Macaca fascicularis: one gene and its partner. The protein of the gene in region 1 interacts with the protein of each later gene in a biochemical or structural test. Links are inferred from orthologs where the notes say so. Each region holds a gene or a part of one and is shown on either strand. Other genes may lie near its edges.

Region 1 (7,862 bases):
AGGCCCCTGAGGCATAGGAGGAAGTATCCAAAGCCAGTTGCCTGCCACGCCCCGTCTCTGCTCAGCTTCACCCCTTGCTCCCAAGAGCCCACCCCTGCCTCCTGATGTATACCTTTCTGCACCTTGTCACACAGTAGGAAGATCTCATCCCCACCGAGGCAGCTGCCAGAGTTTCGGTTCACTCGGCAGATCTTGAGTTCGGCAGTGTTGGGGGCACCTGAGGCAGTGAGAACAAGGAAGGATGACCTGAGCCACCAGAGGTCCCCGGGGTGGCCTGCAGGAGATGCAACTTCCCTGCCTAGCCCCAAGTCAAGGTTGCCCAGAGCTTGCCACCTACACCTTTGCAGCCACAGTCAGACCTTCTTATTAGCTCCTCACCCCAACCAATTCAGCAAGTATTTGCCTACTGATCTAAGCAAGGAGAATACAACCACATACAAAACCTAAACCTCTGCTCTCACGGAGCTTATAGTCCAGTGAGTGCCAATCTGATCACACTGTGTCTCCACCTGACCAAAGCAATCTTTAAGGTCAGTCCATACCCACCTTGGCAATGAGCCCTTCCCTCCTGACTCCCAGTTTATCCTGGTTTCCCATCTTTGGGGTTCCAGAGTCGTTTTATTTCCATTCATCCTGCTGGTTACTTAATTAAAGACTGCAGCTGATCAGTCAGCCCAATTCGTCTGCGGGCTTCTGTCACTGAAGCATCATTCTCGAACACTATCTTATTCCTGGGAGTTCGTTTCCTAGAGTCATTATCGCAGTTGTGGGCACACCACCTTCTCATCACACGATACTGAAAATGCCCATTTCCCATCAGACTCCCTGCTAGACTCCCTGCCAGGCCGGAGCTACACCTCAAGGACAGCTCTGGGTCTTCTTTGCCTTCTCTCCCCAGCCAACAAAGAGCTGGGCACAGAAGAGAAGATGAATACACAAGATGACTGATGAATCAGAGCACCTCTTGCAGGCCACACTCACCCCAACCCCTTCCTCCTATCCAGGCCCACCCTCTCCCCTTCCTGTGTCTCCCTCGCTACTCACGGTTGTCAAAGATGGGATGAGAAAGGACAGGCGGCAGGCGGAGGGGCCTGCCTGATGGATCCCGCACTGTCACCTGGAAGCAGAGCCGCACAGCATTCAGGTCGTAGTCCCCACGCTGTTCTTCTATAGGAACTGGCAAGAAAACAGGTGATCAGGAGAGCAGGGGAAGTGGGGATATAGGTGTGACCAGTTGGGGCAGGGAGCTCTGCTCTGGGAGGGCCGCTGGCGAGTGTGTAAAACACAAGTCCTAGAGGAGGCAGAACCCAGCAGTGACTCCACTGTGACCTGAATGTCATGTCCCCTCCTGGGCCTCAGTTTCCCAATGGCAAAGTGGGAGAGTACCGAATGGGCACCAAGAGTCCATCTTTACCGTGTACTGGCCAATGAGGGAGATGCAGGAAAGGCGGGCCAGGGAGGGTGGCAGAGGGTGCGGGGGCGGCAGGCAGGGTAGCCCTCACCTTGGAAGGGATTGTTGTTCGTCTGGATGCGCTGAGTGATAGCCTGCTCCAGGTCCCGCTTCTTCACACACTGGATTCCCAGGTTCTGGAAACTGAGCACCCCCAGCCATCTGTCCCACTGTCTCTCACACAGCCCGGACCTTCCTGCCTTGCCCAGTCTGCTCCTTCCTCCCCCACCCACCCCCAGACCATCGCTCCATGCTTGACCCCCTCCAGTGGCTTCCTACTGTGCTGCAATGAACCCTGTCCCTTCCCTCAGCTGACAAGCACCTCCGTGCCCCCGCCCCTGCCAGCCTCCCCGTGGGCTCCCTGCTTACAACCACAGGCGCTTCTTTTCCATTCTCTAAACACAGGACACTCATTCCCACCTCAAGGCCTCTGCACTTGTTTGGTCGGCTTGGAATGTTCTTTTCCTACTTCTCTCCTCCTTCTCACCATTCAAGGAGGGAGGCCTTCCCTGACCTTCCAATCTAAAGTCATCACACCAGCTCCCGTAACTCCCCCACCCCAGGTTATCCTTCTATCCTATGACTTTGTTTTATTTTCAGGACTGAAATTGTTACTCTGACAGCACCTTGTTTATTTATCTGTGTATTTATTTATTTTTAAGAGACAGGGTGTTGGGCCGGGTGCGGTGGCTCACACCTGTAATCCCAGCACTTTGGGAGGCTGAGACAGGCAGATCATGAGGTCAGGAGATTGAGAACATCCTGACTAACATGGTGAAACCCCTTCTCTACTAAAAAAAAAAACGCAAAAAAATTAGCTGGGCGTGGTGGCGGGCACCTGTAGTCCCAGCTACTTGGGAAGCTGAGGCAGGACAGTGGTCTAAACCCGGCAGATAGAGGTTGCAGGGAGCTGAGATTGCGCCACTGCACTCCAGCCTGGGGACAGAGCAAGACTCCGTCTCAAAAAAAAAAAAAAAAACACGACAAGGTGTCGCTCTGCTACCCAAGTGTCGTGGTGTAATCATAGCTTGCCATAGCGGTGACCTCCTGGGCTCAGGTGATCCTCCCACATCAGCCTCCCAAGTAGCTGGGACTATAGGCACAAGTCACCATACCCAGCTAATTTCTTATTTTTTTGTAGAGATAGGGTCTCACTATGTTGCCTTGGTTAGTCTTGAACTCCCAGGCTCAAGAGATCTTCCTGCCTTGGCCTCCGGAAGTGCTAGAATTATAAGCATGAGCCACTATGCCTGGCCTGTATATTTTTTTAAGGCCTGTTTCTGTCAACTGCAATGTCACCTCCAGGGGAGAGTGTTGGTTCAGTGGTTTTCTTTCTCAAACAAGAGACATGACTCCAAGGGACTTGTCCTTCCAGCTACAGGGGTCAGGGATTCAGAAGTGATTAGGGACCCATCCATATCCCTTGGAGCTCTTATCTGTGCTAGAGTAGAGGTACAAATAGATCATTTCAAGACAAAGAGAGTTTACTTGCAGAGCTGAGTCAGAGCAAGAAGTAAGCAACTCTGCCCTGTGTCCAGAAAGGAGTAACACTGTAGCGGCTACTTCATAGCCCGCCTCCTGTTCCCTCATGCTGGGCCTCCTAGCCTGCAGGGAGCTCACCTGTGGATGCAGCGGTCCGGGCAGAGCTCAGCCTCATAGAAGCCATCCCGGCAGTCCTTTCCTACAAGCTCGTGGGGGTGAGGCCGGTGAGGAGGGTCCTTGGTGACTAGGGAGATGCGTACTGTCCCTGGTCCTGTGTAGCCATTGATCTGTCCAAAGTACAGAGGCCCAGACATCCAAACCTGACTCCCAGACACAGAGGGCTGGGGTTCCACAGTCCCTTCCCCGCACACCCTGGTGCAGTGCTGACCTTGATGGTGGGGTGGGTCTTGGTGGTATCTGTGCTCCTCTCGCCTGGGATGCTGCCCGCGGAGCGCCCCTCGCACTTGTAGCGGAAGCGCATGCCCCGCTGCTTGGGCTGCTCAATGATCTCCACATAAGGGCCAGAGGCCTGGGCTGGCTCTGCCAGGGGACACCGCAGGCCCATTAGACAGCTGCCCCCGCTGCCCTACCCCAGGGAACACCTCCCGGACCGCTGCGGGGGCCACTTACCTGCCGGGAAGATGAGGGGGAACAGTTCTGAAAGGGGAGGGAGATCAGGGTCAGCACACACCCACTGCCCATCCTCACAAGGGAGTATCTGCTCTCCACAGAGAAGAGAAGCCAGGCTCCCTCCCAGGGGAACTGAGTAAGGACCTGCTTCCTAGAACCTGCGGTGAAACTAAGGAGTGGAGGAAAGGAACCAGAAACACCTGCTTCTTGAGGGAAAACGGGGTAAGGAATCCTTCTCCCGAGGGAAGCCGAATCAGGGCCTGTTGTACTTTCATAAGGAAAACTGAGGGAGGGCACGCCCCACCTCCATCCAGAGAGGAAACTGAATCAGATGCGTTCTCCCCTAATAGGGAAACGAAGCCAGAGCTGCCCCCATGGACGGTGTGGAGGGAAACTGAGTCAAGGCTCCCTCTGCTCCCCCACCCAGGGAGGATGCTGAGTCAAGGGCCCCCCTCCACCCAGAGGGGAAACTGAGTCAGACCCCTCCCCGCCTGCCCCGCCCCGCGCCACCATCCGGCAGGCCGACCGCTCCCTGCGCAGCGCCAGTCGGCGCAGGAAGGGGCGGAAAGCGGCGCGGGGCCTCCCGCCACAGCCGGGGCGGTCCCGGCGCGGCCACCCCGCGGGGTCAGAGGGCGACCTCACCGTCCATGGCCGGGGTCCCGGGGGCGGGGCCGGGGTCGCAGCTGGGCCCGCGGCGTGCACTACAGCCGAGCCATTCGCCAGAGGCGGAAATGCGCCGCGCGCGCCCGCCGTCGCGTCACTGCCCGGAATCCGGCCGCGCCTGCGCGCTGCCCCGCCGCCGCCCGGCGAAGGGGCCGGGAGCAAGTGCGCGCCGCGCGGAGGACGAAGAGGCCGCGCGCACAGCCGCTGCCGGGGGCCGGGGCCAAGTGCGCGCGTCGCCGGGGACGAAGAGGCTGGTGTGCCCGGTGGTTCGGCTAGCTCCCGGGTCCCGGCCCCGCCTGGAGGGCGGGTCCGCCGATTACTCACTTTGTTTTTAGGGGATTTCAGGGCCCCCTCCCACCGATCGGCGGAGTTTGGTGATGTCACTCTGGGCCGGGTCTGGAGCAAAGCCCGGGCTACGGGGCTGCGGCCGCCCGCCCCGCGCAGGGAAAGGCCCAGTCGGGCCTTCTGCTCCGCAGAGGCCGGGTGGTTGAACTCCACGCCGGTTTCCTCATCGCTAAAGGTGCCTTTCGGTGGTGACTGTCTCAGAAGCACGTTAAAATGTCCAACCTACCCCACTCTAGATGCGGCTGTAGGGGAAGGGGAGCGGCCGGACCTCCCCCTCTGACAGTGCATCAGGGAGCTTTGCGGAGCCTGCAGCCCGGATGGGACAACTTGAGGCCCTCCCGCTGGCGAGCTGGCCGAGAGCTCGTCCCTCTCCAGCTAAAGCGCCAGCTTACTATGCAGCCAAACTGCCGGCCCTCAGCGGCTGCAGGAGCAGGGGGTCCCCAGGGGTAAACCCCGGAGCTTCGTCTCTGAAGCCTGGCGCTTGTATCTCAGAAGGTCCGGAACCCACAGGGGACACTCGAATCAGCAGGGCCACAACCCCCAACCCCACTGCCCCCGCCTGTGTTTGCCCTGGACCTCCAGCTAGGGCTGACCACTAATTCTGTCATGTGACCCCACAGTGCGGGTAGCTCCCCCAAGACCAAGCCCAAGGCGCGTCCTTGTGGGGGCTGGGGCTGGCGCAGCCCCACCTCAGGCCTCATCCCCGAAGGAGGATGCTCCAGGGGGCGGAGTCTTCTCCAGATGGAGAAAGACTTATTTTCTCTGAATTCGTCTTGAATTAGGAAATCATGTGGGAATTGGAAAAGATTGGAAATTCTGACTTGTTTCCCAGGCTCTGAAGAAACAGGAAGAGAAAAGTGAAAATAGAGTTAGCACCCCGCCCACTCATTTCAGTTTCTCCAGTGGCTGGCCCTGATTAGAAAAGTGTTTACTTTTGGCAGGGGGCGGGGAAGGCCGACTTCAGTTGAGCGAATGGATGACATACAATTATCATTAAACCTTGCATGGATCCTCTTCTTAAAATTCTTGTATATTTATAACTTTTAAATTAATACCATAAACACCCGTGTACCCATTGCAAAACTTAAGGGACCACCACCGTGCAGAATTCTGCATTGTATTGTATTGTATTGTATGTATTTATTTTTTGAGACAGGCTCGCGCTCTGTCGCCCAGGCTGGAGTGTAGTGGCACAGTCTTGGCTCACTGCAGCCTCTACCACCTAGGATCAAGCAATCCTCCCACTTCAGCCTCCTGCATAGCTGGGACTATGGGAGCACACCACCATGCCTGGCTAAGTTTTTGTATTTTTTTGTAGAGAAGTGGTTTAACCTTGTTGTCTAGGCTGTCCTTGAACTCCTGAGCTCAACTTTCCTTCCACCTTGGCCTCACAAAGTGCTGGGATTACAGGAATGAGTCACCACGCTGGGCCAGAATTCTGTATTTTCTTAAATTAATTAATTCATTATAACTAGAGATGGGTCTTGCTGTGTTGCCCAGGCTGGTCTCAAACTCCTGGGCTCAAGCGATACTCACACCTCAGCCTCCCAAAGTGGAATTACAGGCATGAGCCACCACGCCTGGGCCAGAATTCTGTATTTAAAAAAAAAAAATTACTCATATCTGCATGCCTACACAATATATTGTTTGGTTTTCCTTAGTTTTGAACTTTTTTTTTTTGAGATGAAGTCTCGCTCTGTCGTCCAGGCTGGAGTGCAGTGGCATTCGGCTCACTGCAACCTCCACCTCCCGGGTTCAAGCGATTCTCCTCCCTCAGCCTCCCAAGTAGCTGGGATTTAAAGGGGCCAACCACCACTCCTGGCTAATTTTTGTATTTTTTTAGTAGAGACGGGGTTCTACCATGTTGGCCAGGCTGGTCTCGAACTCCTGACCTCAGCCTCGGCCTCCCAAAGTGCTGGGATTACAGGCTTGAGCCACCGCGCCCGGCCAGTTTTGAACTTTTATGTAGAGGGCATCATATGATTTGTTGTCCTTTGTTACTTGCTTTTTTCACTCAACATATTACTATGATTCATCTGTTTCACAGTTAATTCACTTTTCACTGCTGTATACTGTTTTGTTGTGTAAATATACCACTGTTTGTTTATCTAGTCATCCTGAAGACGGACATTTTTATTTTCATTTTTTTCAGATGGAGTTTCTCTCTTGTCGCCCAGGCTGGAGTGCAATAGTGCCATCTTGGCTCACTGTAACCTCTGCCTCCCAGGTTCAAGTGATTCTCCTGCCTCAGCCTCATGAGTGATCTGCCTGTCTCGGCCTCCCAAAGTGCTATTACAGGCGTGAGCCACCGCGCCCGGCCATGGGCATTTGGACTTCTAATTTTTTGCTACCGTAAGCTTTAGAGCACTGAGCTAATATGCAAAAACAGCAATCATGTAGTTTTTAAAACTTAGTCTGGGGTTAAAGAAGTATGTAAACAACTATGTTTTCTTAAAGATTTATAGGAGCATTGTAACTAGACCAAGGACAAAGAAGTTCCCAACCTCCTTGGCCCCTCGCTGCTGCCCAGATGTCTGCCATGGGGTACCTCTTGGTCACACCCTCCTCCTCTTCCCTGCCCTTAACATAGAAAGAGTCTAAGATTGTACTGACTTAAAACGGTACTTTAGAACGCTACTACACCATCCTCTCAGTCTTGTTGGCTTTCAGAATAAACCAATAAACCTACTTTTTCTCCCACCAACCCCCCTATCAGTTGGGATCCTCTTACCTAGGCCTCCCAAATAGCTGGGACCATAAGCACTCACCACCACACCCAGCTAATTAAAAAGAAAACAATTTTTTGAGGCAGGGTCTCACTCTGTCGCCATGCTGGAATGCTGTGGCATGACACTGCAGCCTCAAACTCCTGGGCTCAAGCAGTCCTCCCACCTTAGCCTCCCAAGTAGCTAGGACTAACAGCGTGTACCACCACACTCGGTTAATTTCTTTTTTTTTTAATTTTTAGTAGACACAAGGTCTTGCTGTGTTGCCAAGGCTGGTCTTGAACCTCTGAACTCAGGCGATCCTCCTGTCTCAGCCTCCCAAAGTGTTAGAATTACAGGCATGAACTACCAAACCTGGCTGAGTTTTTAAAAATCTTAATGAATGCATGGATTTAAATATATTAGCTGTGTTTTAATCAATTATAGTTATTCTTATTGAAATTCAAATTATTCATCTTTGGTTAGGGAGAACCTCTTCATGTTAGTTCTTCAGTCCTTTTGACACAATTCCAATATATGAGTCTTGGTGGCTCATACGTGTAATCCTAGCACTTTGGAAGGCTGAA
Region 2 (6,768 bases), on another chromosome or scaffold:
AAATGTGTAATTAGTTGGCTGGGTGCAGTGGCCCACGCCTGTAATCCAGCACTCTGGAAGACAGGTGGATCACTCAAGGCGAGGAGTTCAAGACCAGCCTAGGCAACCTGGCAAAACCCCATCTCTACTAATAATACAAAAATTAGGGCCAGGCACGGTGGCTCACACCTGTAATCTTAGCACTTTGGGAGGCCGAGGCGGGTGGCTCACTTAAAGTCAGGAGTTCAAGACCAGCCTTGCCAACATGGTGAAACCTGTAATCCCAAATATTTGAGAGGCTGAGGCACAAGAATTGCTTAAATCCAGGAGGTGAAGGTTGCAGTGAGCTGAGATTGCACCACTGCACTCCAGCCTGAGCGACAGAGCGAGACTCTATCTCAAAAACAAAACAAAACAAAAATTAGGCTGGGTGCAGTGGCTCACACCTGTAATCCCAACACTTTGGGAGGCTGAGGAGAGTGGATCATGAGGTCAGGAGATCGAGACCAACCTGGCTAACACGGTGAAACCCCGTCTCTACTAAAAATACAAAAAAATCAGCTGAGCATGGTGGCAAGCGCCTGTGGTCCCAGCTACTCAGGAGGCTGAGGCAGGAGAATGGTGTGAACCCGGGAGGCAGAGCTTTCAATGAGCTGAGATCATGCCACTTGCACTCCAGCCTGGGCGACAGCGCGAGATGCCGTCTCAAAAAAAAAAAAAAAAAAAAAAAAATTAGATGGGCATGGTGGCCTGTGCCTGTAGTTCCAGCTACTCGGGAGACTGAGGCAGGACAATTGCTTGAACCAGGGAGGTGGAGGTTGCAGCCTGGGCAAAAGAGCAAGACTGTTTCAAAAAACAAAAAAATAAAAAAATAATAATTGTGTAATTAGTTATTTGGTATCTGTCTCCCCACGCCGAACATGGCTATCATATTCTCTCCTGTTTCCCTAGTGTTTAGAATTATGACTTGCGAAGAGCAAGTAGTCAGTAAAATACTTGAATAAATGCATGAATATTTGTCCCCTCAGTACAAGAAAAATCTCTTCCCAAGACTCCACCTAAAACTTTCAAAATGCCTCTACTGGCCGGGCACAGGGGCTCACGCCTCTAATCCCAGCACTCTGGGAGGCCAAGGCTGGCAGATCACTTGATCTCAGGAGTTTGAGACCAGCCTGGGCAACATGGCCAGATTCTGTGTCTAAAAAATTAAATATATATATTAAAAATAAAATGCCTGGCATGGTGGCTCATGCCTGTAATCCCAGCACTTTGGGAGGCCAAGGTGGGTGGATCACCTGAGGTCGGGAGTTCAAGACCAACCTGGCCAACACAGTGAAACCCTGTCTCTACTAAAAATACAAAAATTATCTGGGTATGGTGGCGGGCACCTGTAGTCCCAGCTACTCGGGAGGCTGAGGCAGGAGAATTGCTTGAACCCAGGAGGCAGAGGTTGCAGTGGGCCAAGATCGCATCATTGCGCTCCAGCCTGGGCGACAGAGCGAGACTCTGTCTCAAAAACAAACAAACAAAAACACCTAAAACAAAATAAATAAAAAAAAAAACAAAATGCCTCTACTGTTTAAACGTACAACTTCAGGTCTGCTACCACCAGTTCACAAGATTAAGTCACCGTCGATGTACCAAATCTAACGGTGTTATTAAACCTATCCTAAAAAATATCTCTGCAGCAGTTGGCATGATCTTTTCTCCTCTAACTTTCGTTTCTTTTCTTTTGAGGTGCAGTGTCGCTCTTGTCACCCAGGCTGGAGTGCAATGGCACAATCTCGGGTTCAAAGGATTCTTGTGCCCCAGCCTCCCAAGTAGCTGGGATTACAGGCACCTGCCAACATGCCCAGCTAATTTTTGTATTTTTAGTAAAGACGGTTTCACCATGTTAGCCAGGCTGGTCTTGAACTCCTGACCTCAGGTGATCCACTCATCTCAGCCTCCCAATGTGCTAGGATTACAGGCGTGAGCCACCACTCCCAGCCTTTTTGTTTTTGTTTTGAGACGGAGTCTAACTCTGTTGCTCAGGCTGGAATGCAGTGGCTCACTGTAACCTCCGCCTCCCAGGTTCAAGCGATTCTCCTGCCTCAGCCTCCTGAGTAGCTGGGACTACAGGTGCCCGTCACCACGCCCAGCTAATTTTTTTGTATTTTTAGTAGAGACGGGGTTTCACTGTGTTAGCCAGGCTGGTCTCGATCTCCTGACCTCGTGATCCGCCCGCCTCAGCCTCCCAAAGTGCTGGGATTACAGGCGTGAGCCACCTGGCCTGGCCACAAGTTTTTTTTTTTTTTTTTTTTTTTTTTTTTTTTTTTTTTTTTTTTTGAGACGGAGTCTCGCTCTGTCGCCCAGGCTGGAGTGCAGTGGCCAGATCTCAGCTCACTGCAAGCTCCGCCTCCCAGGTTCACGCCATTCTCCTGCCTCAGCCTCCGGAGTAGCTGGGACTACAGGCGCCCGCCACCTCGCCCGGCTAGTTTTTTGTATTTTTTAGTAGAGCCGGGGTTTCACCGTGTTAGCCAGGATGGTCTCGATCTCCTGACCTCGTGATCCACCCGTCTCGGCCTCCCAAAGTGCTGGGATTACAGGCTTGAGCCACCGCGCCCGGCCTTTTTTTTTTTTTTTTTTTTTTTAAGAGGGACACAGAGTCTCTCTCTGTCGCCCAGGCTGGAGTGCAGTGGTATGATCTTGGCTCACTGCAATCTTCACCTCCTGGGTTCAAGTGATTCTCCTGACTCAGCCTCCCAAGTAGCTGGGATTAGAGTCACATGCTACCATGCCCAGATAAATTTTTTTTTTTTTTTAAATAGAGACTGGTTTCACCATGTTGGCCAGGCTGGTTTCAAACTCCTGACCTCAAGTGATCTGCCCACCTTGGCCTCCCAAAGTGCTGGGATTACAAGCATAAGATTCTGTGCCCAGCCTGTCTACCTCACTTTCTAAGCAGCAAGAAGCCACCTTAGATTCTTCCTTCTCTCTCAACCACCCAGTCAGTCAGTCCTTTCTTTTTTTTTTTTTTTTTTGAGACTGAGTCTGGCTCTGTCGCCCAGGCTGGAGTGCAGTGGCCGGATCTCAGCTCACTGCAAGCTCCGCCTCCCGGGTTTACGCCATTCTCCTGCCTCAGCCTCCCGAGTAGCTGGGACTACAGGCGCCCGCCACCGCGCCCGGCTAGTTTTTTGTATTTTTTAGTAGAGACGGGGTTTCACCGTGTTAGCCAGGATGGTCTCGATCTCCTGACCTTGTGATCCGCCCGTCTCAGCCTCCCAAAGTGCTGGGATTACAGGCTTGAGCCACCGCGCCCGGCAGTCCTTTCATATTTAACTCCTAAATACTTCCATAACTCCCTAAAATCAGGTTCTTATCTCTGTCCTGGAATGTTATCACTAAATTGATCTCTGTTATCAGTGATATCATGCTTCAATGTACCATATATTAGTCATTTTCGTTTATAAAAATCACATTGTACTTTAAAATGCAAACTTCTTAGTTTGGCTTAAAAGACTTTGTCCAATCTAGCCTCAGCTTCTTTCTCCAGTCTCGTTTCTCAATTTCTTACCTTAGAGTCATAAATATTAAATACGCTGACCTCTGAGTCATAAATATCAAACACCCTTGACTTTGCCACAAACCTATCACAGTACCTTTGCAGACACTTTCCCCAACCTAGAATTCCCTTTTTCTCTCCTCACTGGCAAACAACCTTCAAGACCCTATTCAAACATCACCTCCTCTGTAAAGCTTTTCCTACATCGCCAGGTAATTACCCCCCTTTTCTGCAGTGTTGCCTACCAAATGTCCTTTTTAATGGATTTCCATTATTTCACTTGTCACAGTGTTTTACAATTACTTGCAGAATCTGTTTCCTTCTAGATCGAGAGCTTCTTGAGGGCAGGGGCCTTGTCTTACCCATTTTTCTATCCCTAGTGCCTGCCATTATGTCTGACCCATAGTAGGAACTCAATAAATATTTGTTGAATAAATGACTCCGGGCCCTAAAACAAATGTAAGCGCATAGGGCGACAGGCTTTGTGCAGGGGTGGTTTACATAAATGGCATAACACCAGATTTTCATTTGATGGGAATTAGATCTTTACTCCACGAAGAGAAGCGTTCCAGCTCATCATCTGACAGTGGTCACTCACCACCACCACTCTCACCACCACCACTCTCACCACCACCACTCTCAACCCCACGAGAAGCCACTTCTGAGGAAGAATGGGGTGGAGGAGGGGTCTTCACCGCTGCTCCAAATGACAGTGGGTGATAACGATTCTGAACGACTATAGGAAAAAAATCTACCCAGAGGCTGGAGACGCTGGAGAATGGGGGCAGCAATTATCTTCCCGGCCGTGCACACTAGCCCTTCAAGACACGTCCCTAACCCCCACACCGCAGCCCCTCCCTCCTCTACCCCCAACAGCGGGGCCTCGATCCTGCTGCCCCGCCCCCTCTTTCTCCGCACCCTCCAATATTTCCTGCCACAGAACCCCCTCACAATTGTAACCTTCTCGTCATTGAGACTTAAGGGCTACAGATCCTCTCATCCCTGATCCCCGCACCACTCTACAGCCCCGACCCCCACCTCCAGCCTGCTCTTACTGTCCAGATAATGTTCCAAATACATCCCCGCAGCCATCTCGAAGCAAAACAAAGCAACTTCCGATCCGCCCCGGAAGTGACTATAACGCGACAGGGTCCGAAGCCATTTTGGGGCTAAAGCCTTTCCGCCCTTAAAAGGAGAACTTCCGCCCTTACTATGTTACCGCCGGTACACATCCGCCCGACGCTCAAACTTTTCCTTTTGCATGGTAGCCACGACCGCCCATAGTGAGGCAGCTGTAGCCCGCTTCCGCCCTTACAGAGACCCCAGGACGCGACCGAGACAGGTATGACGTCACTGAAGGTCGCCATTTTGCATTATCGGGCAAACTTTTTTCCCTCCAAAACGGGAATGTATAGCAATCGGTGCAGGGGTAACTGTTCACTTTAGGCTTATATTGCGTAAACATCCCTTCTCAGCGACTGGAAGATACAGCTTTTTTTCCCTCTTTGCAGAATATGACTTTTTTCAAGCCAGTTAGTTTCTTAAGGAAGTTGGGGAAGAGTATCAAGCCTTGAGAGATTTAAACCCTTTGCATTTCTTTTCACTCACACAAACACCATCTCCCCCAGCATTATTTTTTAAGCTTGAGAAGGATTATCAACTTTCTACTTATAAATACAAATAATGACAATAATGCTATAATTCTGCACATCTTTTGTCAGACCTCCTGTACTTTATACTCGAATACTTTCACATATAAAATATTACTTCTTTTTTTTTTTTTTTTTTTTTTTTTTTTTTTTTTTTTTTTTTTTTTTTTGAGACGGAGTCTCGCTCTGTCGCCCAGGCTGGAGTGCAGTGGCCGGATCTCAGCTCACTGCAAGCTCCGCCTCCCGGGTTTACGCCATTCTCCTGCCTCAGCCTCCCGAGTAGCTGGGACTACAGGCGCCCGCCACCTCGCCCGGCTAGTTTTTTTGTATTTTTAGTAGAGACGGGGTTTCACCGTGTTAACCAGGATGGTCTTGATCTCCTGACCTCGTGATCCGCCCATCTCGGCCTCCCAAAGTGCTGGGATTACAGGCTTGAGCCACCGCGCCCGGCCAAAATATTACTTCTGACGTTGCCCTCTTGCTACTTTTTTTTTTTGAGACAGAATTTTCACTCTTGTTGCCCAGGCTGGAGTGCAATAGCGTGATCATGGAGCCATCTCTCCACAACCTCCACCTCCCAGGTTCAAGTGATTCTCCTGCCTCAGCCTCCCGTGTAGCTGGGATTACAGGCATGCACCATCACACCTGGCTAATTTTGTATTTTTAGTAGAGACGGGGTTTCTCCATGTTGGTCAGGCTGGTCTTGAAATCCCGACCTCAGGCGATCTGCCCTCCTCAGCCTCTCAAAGTGCTGGGATTACAGGCGTGATTCACTGTGCCTGGCACCTCTTGCTACTCTCTAAGGGGGAAACCTCATGTTTTTGTTTTCCTTTTGTTTATATGTGATGTTAGCATCATAATTCTGAAGGGGTCGAGTGATGCAGCACTATCACTACAGGGCTAGTTGGCTAGCTAGTTGCCAGCCATCACTCTAGTTAGCTATGGTAGAGTGATTTCTATGGTTTCCATCAGAATGGAAAGCAGTCAAGGGTATGAGAGTCTGCCAACACACTAGGCAAATAGAACTCAAAGGCCATAACCTAATAGTGGTGTTAGTAAGATAGCATCTTAGAGATAGCTGCCACCCCTCACGCCTTTCATACCCTCACACACCCTTCATAAGAATTATCAATGTCTTATGTCAAGTTTTTTTTTTTTTTTTTTTTTTTTTTTTTGAGACGGAGTCTCGCTCTGTCGCCCAGGCTGGAGTGCAGTGGCCGGATCTCAGCTCACTGCAAGCTCCGCCTCCCGGGTTCACGCCATTCTCCTGCCTCAGCCTCCTGAGTAGCTGGGACTACAGGCGCCCACCACCTCGCCCGGCTAGTTTTTTGTATTTTTTTAGTAGAGACGGGGTTTCACCGTGTTAGCCAGGTCGATCTCCCGACCTCGTGATCCGCCCGTCTCGGCCTCCCAAAGTGCTGGGATTACAGGCTTGAGCCACCGCGCCCGGCCTATGTCAAGTTTTTAATGAGACAGACTTTCAGCTATATTAATTTCTACCAAATACATGAAGAGGAGGAACTTCCAACCCGGGGCGGATTGGAAGTTGCTTTGTTTTGCTTTGAGATGGCTGCAGGGATGTATTTGAAACATTAT

Evidence for each region. The genes of interacting proteins can lie anywhere in the genome.
Region 2: the proteins of RELA (region 1) and ING4 form a complex in vitro, tested with the Homo sapiens proteins (3 studies listed by BioGRID, with this or other methods). The link is inferred for Macaca fascicularis from reciprocal best matches to the Homo sapiens genes RELA and ING4.

What each region holds. Positions count from the first base shown.
Region 1 is NC_088388.1:8,702,855-8,710,716, reverse strand, and holds the start of RELA (transcription factor p65), read right to left. Parts: upstream 4,298-7,862; 5' UTR 4,212-4,297; coding exon 4,205-4,211; intron 3,732-4,204; exon of another isoform or gene 3,590-3,731; coding exon 3,563-3,589; intron 3,473-3,562; coding exon 3,321-3,472; intron 3,220-3,320; coding exon 3,071-3,219; intron 1,595-3,070; coding exon 1,503-1,594; intron 1,177-1,502; coding exon 1,045-1,176; intron 218-1,044; coding exon 113-217; intron 1-112. UniProt on the Homo sapiens protein: NF-kappa-B is a pleiotropic transcription factor present in almost all cell types and is the endpoint of a series of signal transduction events that are initiated by a vast array of stimuli related to many biological processes such as inflammation, immunity, differentiation, cell growth, tumorigenesis and apoptosis.
Region 2 is NC_088385.1:7,583,801-7,590,568, forward strand, and holds the start of ING4 (inhibitor of growth protein 4), read right to left. Parts: upstream 4,634-6,768; 5' UTR 4,616-4,633; coding exon 4,579-4,615; exon of another isoform or gene 4,562-4,578; intron 1-4,561.